Saccharomyces cerevisiae S288C: one gene and its partners. Changing the gene in region 2 together with the main gene of any one other region gives a genetic interaction. Each region holds a gene or a part of one and is shown on either strand. Other genes may lie near its edges.

Evidence for each region.
Region 1: mutations in PHO5 (region 2) and CHS1 are lethal when combined (synthetic lethality), as found in Saccharomyces cerevisiae (2 studies listed by BioGRID, with this or other methods).
Region 3: mutations in PHO5 (region 2) and KIN82 together harm fitness more than expected from each alone (negative genetic interaction), as found in Saccharomyces cerevisiae (3 studies listed by BioGRID).

What each region holds. Positions count from the first base shown.
Region 1 is NC_001146.8:274,577-280,397, reverse strand, and holds CHS1 (chitin synthase CHS1), read right to left. Parts: upstream 3,897-5,821; coding exon 501-3,896; downstream 1-500. Other genes in the region: YNL193W (uncharacterized protein), read right to left, coding at 4,354-5,821. UniProt on the Saccharomyces cerevisiae protein: Polymerizes chitin, a structural polymer of the cell wall and septum, by transferring the sugar moiety of UDP-GlcNAc to the non-reducing end of the growing chitin polymer. Required for mitotic division septum formation during adverse conditions.
Region 2 is NC_001134.8:428,987-432,747, reverse strand, and holds PHO5 (acid phosphatase PHO5), read left to right. Parts: upstream 1-1,796; coding exon 1,797-3,200; downstream 3,201-3,761. Other genes in the region: PBY1 (putative tubulin tyrosine ligase), read right to left, coding at 1-712; acid phosphatase PHO3, read left to right, coding at 3,647-3,761. UniProt on the Saccharomyces cerevisiae protein: Partially mediates extracellular nucleotide derived phosphate hydrolysis along with NPP1 and NPP2.
Region 3 is NC_001135.5:272,717-277,066, forward strand, and holds KIN82 (putative serine/threonine protein kinase KIN82), read left to right. Parts: upstream 1-1,687; coding exon 1,688-3,850; downstream 3,851-4,350. Other genes in the region: YCR090C (uncharacterized protein), read right to left, coding at 1-147; mismatch repair protein MSH3, read right to left, coding at 4,048-4,350. UniProt on the Saccharomyces cerevisiae protein: Flippase activator that phosphorylates DFN1 and DFN2 and which is involved in the generation of phospholipid asymmetry in membranes by the inward translocation of phospholipids.

The DNA of each region.
Region 1 (5,821 bases), on a different chromosome or scaffold from region 2:
CAAATTTCTTCAAGGCTTCCGGATCGTTACCTTACTCCCAAGCAATAAACGTGAAATCTGTTTTGTATATATATTTGCAGCTTTTTTTCTTTTGTTCTTTTTCTTTTTTTGGAGATGCGTCTTAAAAAGCGCCACAGTTTCAAGGGTCCGGCGGATAATTTGAGCAATGATAGTATGAAATGCCAGATTACTGTGTATTAAATAATACTTCATGAATTTGCGAATGAACCACTTTTTTGAAAGTTTATGGATATAGATGTGCACATGTCGTTTTTTGAGCTTTGGGTGTTTAGAGCGGAAGAGTTGGTGTTGTGAGTTTCAGTTTTATCAATTATTTATGTTTTTCTCTCAGAAGCCATTTTTTTTTGGTTTTATGGTAAAGGCACCCTTTAAAAATAATACTAAATGTTTCTTTGAAAAATACCATACTTACAACTAATTAATTATTATATGATAGTAAACACATATACTTATTTATAACAAAGGGGTAATCAATCTACTTAGCGAAATGTAACCTTTTTAAAAAACCTTACTATCATGTATATTGAGCAACCAATGAACCTTATTAATGCCGATAATGCAACTAACCATAAAATTACATTAAAATAAATTGAGGCCTTACTGGTCATTAAGGGAATTTCCGCCTTCTTTGCAGTTTCTAAAGTGTCATCAGTTGATATGGATTTCATAGCAATATAATCTGCAATCCCACCGGTTTCTAAGACAACAGCAACGATGATGAAATTTGTGATGACCCAAAAGATAATCACGAGAGATCTAACGTTTGCATAATAGCCAGTCTTTTTTTCATCATAAGATGGCTCAGTAGGCCGAGATTCTGATTTTGGATCGAAGTCATTTAAAACTTTCAAATATTTATCGTAGTTTGCTTGAATCTCTGAACTAGAGACCAGAACTTCCATTTTGAACGTACCATCTTCTGTAGTATTAATCTTACCCAGCGGATTTGCCATTGCACCCTTTGTACCCCATGATAAGTCGTGGACATTACAAAATGCATAGATATTCAAAACATTGATGTAAGAAGGACTCAATAAAATATACTGAATAAAACTTGTCAACATATGCCATGGCTGCAAATAGATAATTGAACTGATTAGGTACAAACAATAAGTGGAGCCCAGAGAGATAACAATATCCCTGAAAGCTTCTGTGGTAATCAAACCCTCAAAGCTGATGGTATCGTTTTTCAATATATTTTGGAAGGATTTGACACTCATGAATATACTGCAGAATATCATGTAAATCATCATCACCGCAAAAATGACGCAAGTTAGAACATAAAATTTCTCAGTACTTTTAGGTTTATTACCCAATGACAGTATGAATGTTGATAAGGTACAAATCCCATAAAGCCACAGGAATATGACGGACAACACATTAAATGCTGAATGGTATGCCAGTGCAATAGAAACAGTGAGAATTCTAAAGACTAGGAAAAATGAACTCAATGAAAACCATGAAATCAATGTATTGAAGAAAAGGTAAAAAAATTCAACCGTCAAAAGGAGTTTTCTACCAATATTATGACCACTGCTCCAGACTCTGTAAAAATGACAAAAGGAATATACACTAGCAAAAAATGAACCATTCAACCAACGCCTCCTCTGAAGAATAAATTCAGGGACCCTCTCCGGTACATCTGTTGAAGCATAAGAACTTCTGCAGTATTTCAAAATCCAATTACAATTTTTTTTTGTGACCACTTCAAAGCATAAAATACGATCTTCAGCAAGATACATATTGGAAGAAAAAAAATGAAAACCTTCATTTTCCATAATTTCACCATAAAAGTACTTCTGTAATGGTTGGCCTCTCACAGCTTCAAACCTATACGCAGAGAATGCCCCCGGTAGAACAGTAATAAATCCAAAGTTAGACTCGGTTGTTTTGTCTAAAATATTGGACATTTTGTATTCGAAATTCTGTGATGCAACTAAAGGATTCAAAAGCTTTACAAATCTCTTACCCAAATCAGTTCTTATTTCACCACATGCGCCACCAACATTTGGATTCCTGAACTCTCTCCATAACTGGTAAATAGAATCTTTACCTGGCATGGTACCAGCATCTAACAATGTAACGATATTGGGACGCAGTAATTCTGCAAAGCCTTCAAATGCCCATCTATGTGAGTTAATTTTTTTCTGATTTTGCTCTTTCAAACAAAACAAAAGTTGTATTGGAACGGTACCTTGATTGCATTCTAATGAAACCTCTGATTCCGAAATATTTGTGATGTTGATCATTGTCGTATGTTCGTAGACATGCATTGCCACTTTTTTTTCATTAATTTCATCCTTAGCAAACCCGTCCTGGTAACAACCTAACGAACTTAGTAATGCTAGCGAGCGTTCATTAATTTTGGATCTACCATCTGAAATGATACAAACGACAATCTTTTTCCATGCATCCGGCCCCCAAGTGCTTGAATTTTTTTTTTTCACCATATATTTGACATTGTCCATAATACCTTTCAAAGTTCTTCCTAACAGGATATGGTCTTCATTATACATTGTGACTACTAGCATCAATTCCGTTTCCCTTGGAGTTAAATACTTCAACTGCCTCACCGTGAAATTCTTCTCTGCAAGTTGATTAGGTTCGCAAGTAACTGCTTGATATCTCATAAACTTAAACTCATTTGGTAAAGTGTTTGCATTTTCTGTTGTAGTAGCGTATTGGTCCAATAGCGTCTTACTGATTGGAGAATCGAAAACAAAATTACCATTCCAAAGTTTGAATTTCCTAATTTCAGTACCGCTTCTCTTTAGTGCTCTATTTGCGGTTAAGTTATCATTGCTTACTATTATGTCGGATTCTTTAGATCCGATAGAAGACACCGAGGATGATGCAGGTACACCATTAGCTTGAAACTGTAATTTATCAATAGTGTTGAGATCATCGTACTCGTCATCCCTTGAAAAATCATCCTTGTCATATTCCCCCAAGTCTCTATGAGAGTAACCGCTTTTCACACTGTCTAATTCTTCTTTTCCATCGTTTACGGGTCTGCTATCATCATGAAGATATTCTCTACGCTCCATAGGAGTCATATGTCTTAAACTGTTTTCATAATCGTAAGGATCAACCATTTCACCGTTTCTACCCAAATATGAATTAATCTGATAGTCATCTCCTCTCTGATCAATATAACCACCCTCCGGATCGTCATAGTAATCTTTTGCCTGTAGGCCATGGTAACCATTGTTGTATCCAAAAGGTTGGTCATGGTATTGAGGAATATTACCGCTATTCATGTTATTGTTGGGTTGCTCCAAAATGGGCCTAGCTTCCTGATCTGCATAACCATCGCTACTAGAAGCAATACTCGGTGACGTCCTAGAGTTCCTGTTATTATAATAGTAGTCGTTTTCGTTAAAGAAGGGCCTTTCGATGGGGGTGGCCATAGTCTGTGAGCCGTTATGTATGAGTTCTGGAGTGGTTTGAATCACATTTATCGAAGGAAGTGGATATGAAGGTACGTTATTGTATTGATGTTCCGACGGTAGCTGTTGACTATTCGTATTAAAAACGTCATTGTATTCTGCAGTTGCTGGTGGGGGACGCTGGCGATGGTGGTTGACAAAACCTCCATATATGTCTCGTTCGTTATCATTGATAGTATTATTATTGCCATCGTCACCGTTATAAAGCATATTTGTTTGCTGAGATTGTTCTGGAAATTGCAAAGATTGGACTGGAGTGAATGAACCCATGCTGGCATTTTGATTGGTATATCTTTGGTTCCTGTTTGTTAATTCTTCATTAGAAGAGTGAAATAGCCCGCTATGTGCATTTTGGAGTTCATAGGAAGGTTCATTCTTCCGGTTTGAGTGATATTCATTTCTCGATCGATTATTTTGATCACTCATTGTATAGTTTTTTTGGTTTGGCTTCCCAGTATTAATTTAGTGACTCTTCGAGGAAGGAAAGAAGAGAGAAGAAGAAGAAGAAATGTATACTGCGTATTTAAACAAGCAGTACTGCAAGGTCCGGTAGGCCTCAAAATGTAAGTGTTCTGATCCTTTGGAGTACCGACGTAAAAAATGAACCCGAGATATATATTAAAATCAATAATTTGTAACAAATATTATACCTAGTTTGGCCAAGAAAATCAAATTTCACACTAATGGCTGTGTCGCGTCATTATCGCGTTACCAAGCCACGCGATTTCTAAAAAAAGACTGCTGGGCCCCGTCTCGGCTTTGTTTCAGAGGTAATGTATGTTTCCTGCATGTATTTACTTGTATCAAATTTCGTTTCACCAAGGGTTCTTGTAGCATATGCGCAACGAATTATCTTCTACTTATGTATATGTACGTAATTTCACTACCGATAGTGGCTATAAAAAGGGTGTTCTGGTGGCATATCGAACGTCATTGCGGTAGGCGAAGCAGAAGTACCGTCATCCTCATTTGACTTCTGTTCCAGCCTCTGTAAGAAAAGTAGTCTTTCCTTGGCTTGATTATGGATATAGTTCCTCTTCAGTTTATCAATAATCGTTTCTTGTAACCCGCACTGTTTTGATGAGATAGCGACAGCATTATTCAGAAAAACGTTAGCGTTTTTCATCAATATGTTTAAAGTATGCGCTCCCCCGGGGGTTTTTTGTGACTTTTCAGTTGATTCTTTTATAGCGTACCTTCTCAGTTCATTATCGGAGGAATTTACTAAGACATCACAAAGTTGAAAAACTACGTGACTCAATTGTTCGTTCAATGTCTGATTTTTCAGAAACAAGATTTGATTTCTATAGTCTGTTAATAAAGTTCTAGCCTCTGTAAGAACTTTGGTCAATAACCCAGAGAGTTTCCAAGATGCATCTGAAGAATAATCGTTTAAACATAGAATGGCAAATTCAACGATATCAACTCTAATCAACGAAAGATCAATCTTACCCTGTACATCTTTTTCATCAAGCAGATCGGTAAAGGAGACGGTTTGCAGAACAAAATCTTGCAATGACTCGAAGGTTCCGGAGCTAATGATGTTCAAACCTTCAATTAAAGTCTTGGCTAAACCGATTTCCTTCAAATCTAATGGAATGGCGGCGGAAATGGAGTCTATAATGTCGCGTAGTTGTAAATAGAATTTATTGGTTGTATCTTCCAAGAAATTAATCTGAATAGGATTCAAGATTTTCGTTTCGACATTTTTTTCAATAGATATTTTCGACTCAATAACCAATTCCATCAAAGCATGGTTGAACTTTAAAGAGTTGGCGAGTACTTCGGTAAGTGAAGACGGAGTCACTTGTTCAGAAACGTCCATAACTTCTGCTGGAGGTTGTACAGGTCCATTGGTTCGGATACCACTTCCGTCCCTGGTAACTTGCATCGCGTCTTCATCCAAAGTATCTCTTTGCAATTCCGTATCTGTGTCATCGGAATCTTGTTCTGCATTTTCACTCCAGTTTTGTAGTTCTTGTAACAGATAATTAACCAGGTGTTGAAAGATTTCAATATACTTGTTTGTCAAAGTTAAAATGTCTGCACCTTCCATTGCAACGGTGGGCGAAACGGTGTCGTCTAGGGACTCTATGAGAGTCAAATAACATGTCAATAGATTGAATTGAAGATCCCAAGTTCTCTGTTCTGGGAAAGTCTCATAAACAATTTCAAACCGTTGGATAATCTGTGGCAGAGATAACACCAAATTGGAAAGATCAGGCATATCATCCATTTTCACGTATTGCAAGATATTAATGTAGCCGTTATTGGCCAGATAATCTGTATAAATTTGCAAAAAAAGCCTTGTTTCATTATAATAGATATTATATTTCCCTTCCTGCGTGGAA
Region 2 (3,761 bases):
GAATCCATCTATTTTCCCAAATTGGTGCATAGTAAACCTTTGTATCATCACTTAAACTCTCCACTAAAGGAATATTGATACTATATAGATCTGTTTTTGGGTCCCAATTCTTAACAAGATGTTTGATAACATCTAAAGATCTCTTAGAGGCCTTCTCCATTAAAAGTGGGGAGACGTTTTTCAATCCATTAAAATAGGCCCAAGAAATAGCAATGGCCTTTGTATTTCCAGTAATAACAGATTCCATTGCGCCTCCTACGGTACCAGAAGAGGTAATATAAGCAGCAGATGTATTTCTACCAACATTTGGACCCGACAGTACTAGATCAAACGGTTCATTAGACAATAGGTGCAGCCCGATGTTTGCGCACGATGCTGGAGTTCCATCGATTAATATCCACTCAATTGTATCTTTCGGAATTTCAGCATTGAGAACATAAGGTAATTTAGAGTTTTCTGACCTAATTTGTGGCTGGATAAATGGGCCCCAAAAAGTATTGTCTTCAGCGTCAACTTTAGAATATATGAATTGAGCTGTCAAATTTTTACCAGCAAGATGAGCCTTACCCACCCATGATTTCTGGACATGAGGTACACAAACCGTGATTTTCCATTCAGGATAATTTCTTTTAATGTGCTGAATAAAAGGTCTAATGTATGGTGAAAACTGATCACTTAAGGGACCATCATCGTTAGTTATTAAAACCCGCATCTTAAAAGAAATATTTATTGTTTCCGAATTTTTAATGTCAGAGATCAAGTCAGAGCGGCTGCCTTTACCGTAATTTTCAATTGCTAAATACAATGTTCCTTGGTTATCCCATCGCCAATAATTTTTATTTTTACCACTGTTGAAGAAGCGAAAGAAAAAAAAAGGGAAAATCAAAACATTCCCTGTGCACTAATAGAAGAAAACAAGAGACTCCGTCCCTCTTTAGTGAGAAAATTGACCAGAGATGGTTTTTGTCCATCTTTTCGCAAAAAATTAGTTCTATTTTTTACACATCGGACTGATAAGTTACTACTGCACATTGGCATTAGCTAGGAGGGCATCCAAGTAATAATTGCGAGAAACGTGACCCAACTTTGTTGTAGGTCCGCTCCTTCTAATAATCGCTTGTATCTCTACATATGTTCTATTTACTGACCGAAAGTAGCTCGCTACAATAATAATGTTGACCTGATGTCAGTCCCCACGCTAATAGCGGCGTGTCGCACGCTCTCTTTACAGGACGCCGGAGACCGGCATTACAAGGATCCGAAAGTTGTATTCAACAAGAATGCGCAAATATGTCAACGTATTTGGAAGTCATCTTATGTGCGCTGCTTTAATGTTTTCTCATGTAAGCGGACGTCGTCTATAAACTTCAAACGAAGGTAAAAGGTTCATAGCGCTTTTTCTTTGTCTGCACAAAGAAATATATATTAAATTAGCACGTTTTCGCATAGAACGCAACTGCACAATGCCAAAAAAAGTAAAAGTGATTAAAAGAGTTAATTGAATAGGCAATCTCTAAATGAATCGATACAACCTTGGCACTCACACGTGGGACTAGCACAGACTAAATTTATGATTCTGGTCCCTGTTTTCGAAGAGATCGCACATGCCAAATTATCAAATTGGTCACCTTACTTGGCAAGGCATATACCCATTTGGGATAAGGGTAAACATCTTTGAATTGTCGAAATGAAACGTATATAAGCGCTGATGTTTTGCTAAGTCGAGGTTAGTATGGCTTCATCTCTCATGAGAATAAGAACAACAACAAATAGAGCAAGCAAATTCGAGATTACCAATGTTTAAATCTGTTGTTTATTCAATTTTAGCCGCTTCTTTGGCCAATGCAGGTACCATTCCCTTAGGCAAACTAGCCGATGTCGACAAGATTGGTACCCAAAAAGATATCTTCCCATTTTTGGGTGGTGCCGGACCATACTACTCTTTCCCTGGCGACTATGGTATTTCTCGTGATTTGCCTGAAGGTTGTGAAATGAAGCAACTGCAAATGGTTGGTAGACATGGTGAAAGATACCCTACTGTCAGTCTGGCTAAGACTATCAAGAGTACATGGTATAAGTTGAGCAATTACACTCGTCAATTCAACGGCTCATTGTCATTCTTGAACGATGATTACGAGTTTTTCATCCGTGATGACGATGATTTGGAAATGGAAACCACTTTTGCCAACTCGGACGATGTTTTGAACCCATACACTGGTGAAATGAACGCCAAGAGACATGCTCGTGACTTCTTGGCTCAATACGGTTACATGGTCGAAAACCAAACCAGTTTCGCCGTTTTTACCTCTAATTCTAAGAGATGTCATGACACTGCTCAATATTTCATTGATGGTTTAGGTGACCAATTCAACATCACCTTGCAGACTGTCAGTGAAGCTGAATCCGCTGGTGCCAACACTTTGAGTGCTTGTAACTCATGTCCTGCTTGGGACTACGATGCCAATGATGACATTGTAAATGAATACGACACAACCTACTTGGATGACATTGCCAAGAGATTGAACAAGGAAAACAAGGGTTTGAACTTGACCTCAACTGACGCTAGTACTTTATTCTCGTGGTGTGCATTTGAAGTGAACGCTAAAGGTTACAGTGATGTCTGTGATATTTTCACCAAGGATGAATTAGTCCATTACTCCTACTACCAAGACTTGCACACTTATTACCATGAGGGTCCAGGTTACGACATTATCAAGTCTGTCGGTTCCAACTTGTTCAATGCCTCAGTCAAATTATTAAAGCAAAGTGAGATTCAAGACCAAAAGGTTTGGTTGAGTTTTACCCACGATACCGATATCCTAAACTTTTTGACCACCGCTGGTATAATTGACGACAAAAACAACTTAACTGCCGAATACGTTCCATTCATGGGCAACACTTTCCACAGATCCTGGTACGTTCCTCAAGGTGCTCGTGTCTACACCGAAAAATTCCAATGTTCTAACGACACCTACGTCAGATACGTCATTAACGATGCTGTTGTTCCAATTGAAACCTGTTCCACTGGTCCAGGGTTCTCTTGTGAAATCAATGACTTCTACGACTATGCTGAAAAGAGAGTAGCCGGTACTGACTTCCTAAAGGTCTGTAACGTCAGCAGCGTCAGTAACTCTACTGAATTGACCTTCTACTGGGACTGGAACACTACTCATTACAACGCCAGTCTATTGAGACAATAGTTTTGTATAACTAAATAATATTGGAAACTAAATACGAATACCCAAATTTTTTATCTAAATTTTGCCGAAAGATTAAAATCTGCAGAGATATCCGAAACAGGTAAATGGATGTTTCAATCCCTGTAGTCAGTCAGGAACCCATATTATATTACAGTATTAGTCGCCGCTTAGGCACGCCTTTAATTAGCAAAATCAAACCTTAAGTGCATATGCCGTATAAGGGAAACTCAAAGAACTGGCATCGCAAAAATGAAAAAAAGGAAGAGTGAAAAAAAAAAAATTCAAAAGAAATTTACTAAATAATACCAGTTTGGGAAATAGTAAACAGCTTTGAGTAGTCCTATGCAACATATATAAGTGCTTAAATTTGCTGGATGGAAGTCAATTATGCCTTGATTATCATAAAAAAAATACTACAGTAAAGAAAGGGCCATTCCAAATTACCTATGTTTAAGTCTGTTGTTTATTCGGTTCTAGCCGCTGCTTTAGTTAATGCAGGTACAATTCCCCTCGGAGAGTTAGCCGATGTTGCCAAAATTGGCACTCAGGAAGACATATTCC
Region 3 (4,350 bases), on a different chromosome or scaffold from region 2:
GATGATGACTTTAGAATCGTGTAATTCTCTACAACTGGTACATTGTAGATCGAAGGCAAATTCTGCCCTTGATTCGTTTGTATTCTCAATTGAAACCTTGGTCACGTTTTCTGATAATGTTGCTTTCAGAACCAAAAATAACGGCATTATCGTACACAACCTGGTTTTCTTTATTGGTTAAGTTGTCTTTATTCAAAATTTTTCATTACTTCTTATAAACAGCTTCTTGACGCTTGTAATTTCATAAGTTTTTGATACAAGCAATGGAAACAAAATTAAGAAAATGTAGGCAACGAAGAACTAAATTTGAAAAAAAAAAAAAAAAAAATTTACTGCCAAGATCATCTAAATTATCTTATAGTAGCAAAGCTTGAGCATAAAAGGATCAATCTTTTAGTTTTTTATGGCAAAGTACATTTGCAGTAAGTAATTAGTGATGAGATAAACAAAGAATAATAATCCAATTCGAAATCAAAAATTCAAACAACAAAAAACATAATTTCACATATATATCTAATTCATTCACGAAAAACACGTCAGTTCCTTCTGTCTGTTGTAAATAGGATGCATCCGCAGTGAATCATGGAAATATTTCAAAACTTTCAGCCCAATCATTTTATTTGGTCAATGAAGCCATAAACGCTCCGTAATTCTAAGATTAAAAAAAATTCATAAAAATAAGGACCAATATAAATATATATATTTAATGTGCTAGTGACAATCCTAGTGATAAAATTGCAAATTATACTACAATTGGTCATGGTGAAGCCTAAACACACCATTACGTCTTCACAGTGTTATTCATTTTATTTTCAAAGGTATGCTACTACTAATGCACCAGTGTATACCATGATACGGTGAAAAGGGCATGTAATATTGCGTTAATTTGTCGATAACCTTTCTTTACGTTTAAATTTTTTTTTTATAACTGGCGACACTAAACTTCTCGATAAAATACAACATAAAAAGCAGTACCTAGCTAAGCGAACAACAGATAATAAATAGCTAAACATCTAGGTTAATAGCCAATTAGCAATACATTTAAGGATTGATAGTGTGGTATTTACAAGGTAATAGCCCGCTAGGCTATAAGGAAACTACTCTAAATTCACCTTCCATATATGTGACTGCCAAGAAAATATTACTAGTTATCAAGCTTTTTTTGTGTGCATTCAACTTCAACGAATCCTTCGTCATCAATGAAACAAAAGAACAAGCCAGAACTGAAAAAAAAAAATCAAAACCACTAAGAATGTCACATCCTTCCAAAACTCCTGCTGGCTCTTCAACTCTTCAAAGAATATCAAGATAAATATCATTATCTCCAGTGTGGCCGACCCATGCATGAGTGCGAGGAGCATTAAGTTGGATCCTGGGAAAACATGTCAAGGACATTCAATAAAGTACTTTTCATACTACAACAGACGCTAGAAGAACTAGAATGTAACCGTGAACTGCCTCTCAAACACATAATTATGATAGCGCCGTCTTCGGCATCCTTTTTCGGAAATATACTTTCCTTTTTCCCTCTTTCAGCTATATTGTTCAAGGAGTAACATAAGACATAATAACCCCAGTTTTTTTAGAGAAAGTTCTTCTTCTTTAATTATAGTATGTTTGAAACGTACAAGAATTCATTGAGTGCCCTAAGGATTACTGCAAACAAGGTTCAACAGTGTTGGTACACATGACTCAGCAAGAATACCGTTCCCCCTCACAACGCTTATCCAAGGGGAGGAGCATGTCGCTACCCAAAATATTTGCTCGTAATTTGAGATCTCTGCAAAACAATGCACCTCCTGGCAAAAACATCAATGTCAATTGTTTGAACGTCAATTCTTGTTCGTTGTCCGCAAGCCCAAGCTCACAAATTAATATGGCTTGTAATGGAAACAAGCAAGATCTTCCCATACCGTTTCCCCTGCATGTAGAATGCAACGATAGCTGGTCAAGCTCCAAACTTAACAAGTTCAAATCAATGTTTAATCATAACAGATCAAAGAGCAGTGGTACTACAGATGCGTCAACTTCAGAAAAAGGTACGCATAAGCGTGAACCCCGGTCGACGATACATACAGAGCTGTTACAAAGTTCCATTATCGGTGAGCCAAATGTCCATAGTACTACAAGTAGCACACTTATACCCAATGAGGCGATATGCTCCACACCTAATGAGATCTCAGGTAGCTCTTCTCCGGACGCGGAGTTATTTACCTTTGACATGCCCACAGACCCGTCATCCTTCCACACTCCTAGCTCCCCAAGTTATATAGCAAAGGACAGTAGAAACCTGAGTAATGGATCTTTGAATGATATTAACGAAAATGAAGAGCTCCAAAATTTCCATAGAAAAATCAGCGAAAATGGCAGTGCCTCCCCCCTGGCTAACTTGTCATTATCCAATTCACCAATTGATTCCCCAAGGAAAAATAGCGAAACCAGAAAGGATCAAATACCTATGAACATAACACCACGTTTAAGGAGGGCCGCTTCCGAACCGTTCAATACGGCAAAGGATGGGTTAATGCGGGAAGATTACATTGCCTTGAAACAACCTCCAAGCTTGGGAGATATTGTAGAACCGAGGAGATCTCGTCGTTTAAGAACCAAGTCATTCGGTAACAAGTTCCAAGACATTACTGTCGAACCTCAATCCTTCGAAAAAATTAGACTACTTGGCCAAGGTGACGTAGGTAAAGTGTATTTAGTGAGGGAACGCGATACCAACCAGATATTCGCCCTGAAAGTTTTGAATAAACATGAGATGATCAAGAGGAAGAAAATTAAACGAGTACTCACTGAACAGGAAATTCTCGCGACAAGTGATCATCCATTTATTGTGACACTGTATCATTCCTTTCAAACCAAAGACTATTTGTATCTCTGTATGGAATACTGCATGGGAGGGGAATTCTTTAGAGCCTTACAAACAAGAAAAAGTAAATGCATTGCAGAAGAAGATGCGAAGTTTTACGCCAGTGAAGTAGTAGCAGCTTTGGAATATTTACACCTACTGGGCTTCATATACAGAGATTTGAAACCCGAAAACATATTACTGCATCAATCTGGTCATGTCATGCTTTCTGACTTTGATTTATCCATCCAAGCAACGGGATCAAAAAAACCCACCATGAAAGACTCTACGTATTTAGATACAAAAATTTGTTCAGATGGATTCAGAACTAATTCCTTTGTTGGTACTGAAGAGTATTTAGCTCCAGAAGTAATCAGAGGGAATGGCCACACTGCAGCAGTAGACTGGTGGACTTTAGGAATATTGATTTACGAGATGCTATTTGGCTGTACTCCATTTAAAGGAGATAATTCAAATGAAACATTCTCTAACATTTTAACCAAGGACGTCAAATTTCCACATGATAAGGAAGTTTCGAAGAATTGTAAAGACCTGATAAAGAAACTACTAAACAAAAACGAGGCAAAAAGGCTTGGTTCCAAATCAGGAGCTGCAGACATAAAGAGACATCCCTTCTTCAAAAAAGTTCAGTGGTCGTTCTTAAGAAACCAAGACCCCCCTCTAATACCTGCATTAAATGATAACGGCTGCGAACTTCCTTTTATATTGTCTTGCAATAAACACCCGAAAAGGAACTCAGTGAGTGAACAGGAAACCAAAATGTTCTGTGAGAAAGTTGCAAACGATGATGAAATTGATGAGGCTGATCCATTCCATGATTTTAATTCTATGAGTTTAACGAAGAAAGATCACAATATCTTAACCTACTCTGAAAATTATACCTACGGAAAAATTCTATACAAAGCAACTTGTACAAGGCCAAGGCATAACAGCTCACATAGAAGTTTCTTTAAAGACATCATACCTGAACTATAACATGTTTACAGAAAGATAAACCCATGGCCAAATTTCTGTATTGTTTCTCTCAATTTATCTTATGATAAAAATGTAAAAAATTATTTAAAAGTAAACAAATAAACAAAGGAACAATTCAAAAACGAGAAAGTGAATGAAAAATATAATATCATTTATTGTCTGATAATGCTGCATTTAGAACATACGTACCATCCGCATCAGTGGATATCCAATGATAGTAATTTCGCGAGTTTATCCGTTGCTGTTATATTATCACTTTTTAATATTCTTTTCAAAGAGCTGAATAATTTCAACGCGTCTTCGTTAATGGATTCCTTCCGCAATTCTTCTGAAATACTGAATGCCCGATTTATAATATCTTTGTCCAGGCGTGCCAATTTCGCCACATTCATCCCATAACTATTATAAGTCAATCCCTTTTTTAACTTATATAGAAAAATTACACTCATCCAGTCCTCGCCAGTTTTTTGTTCTTCCACGTAATCCATATGATAATTCCT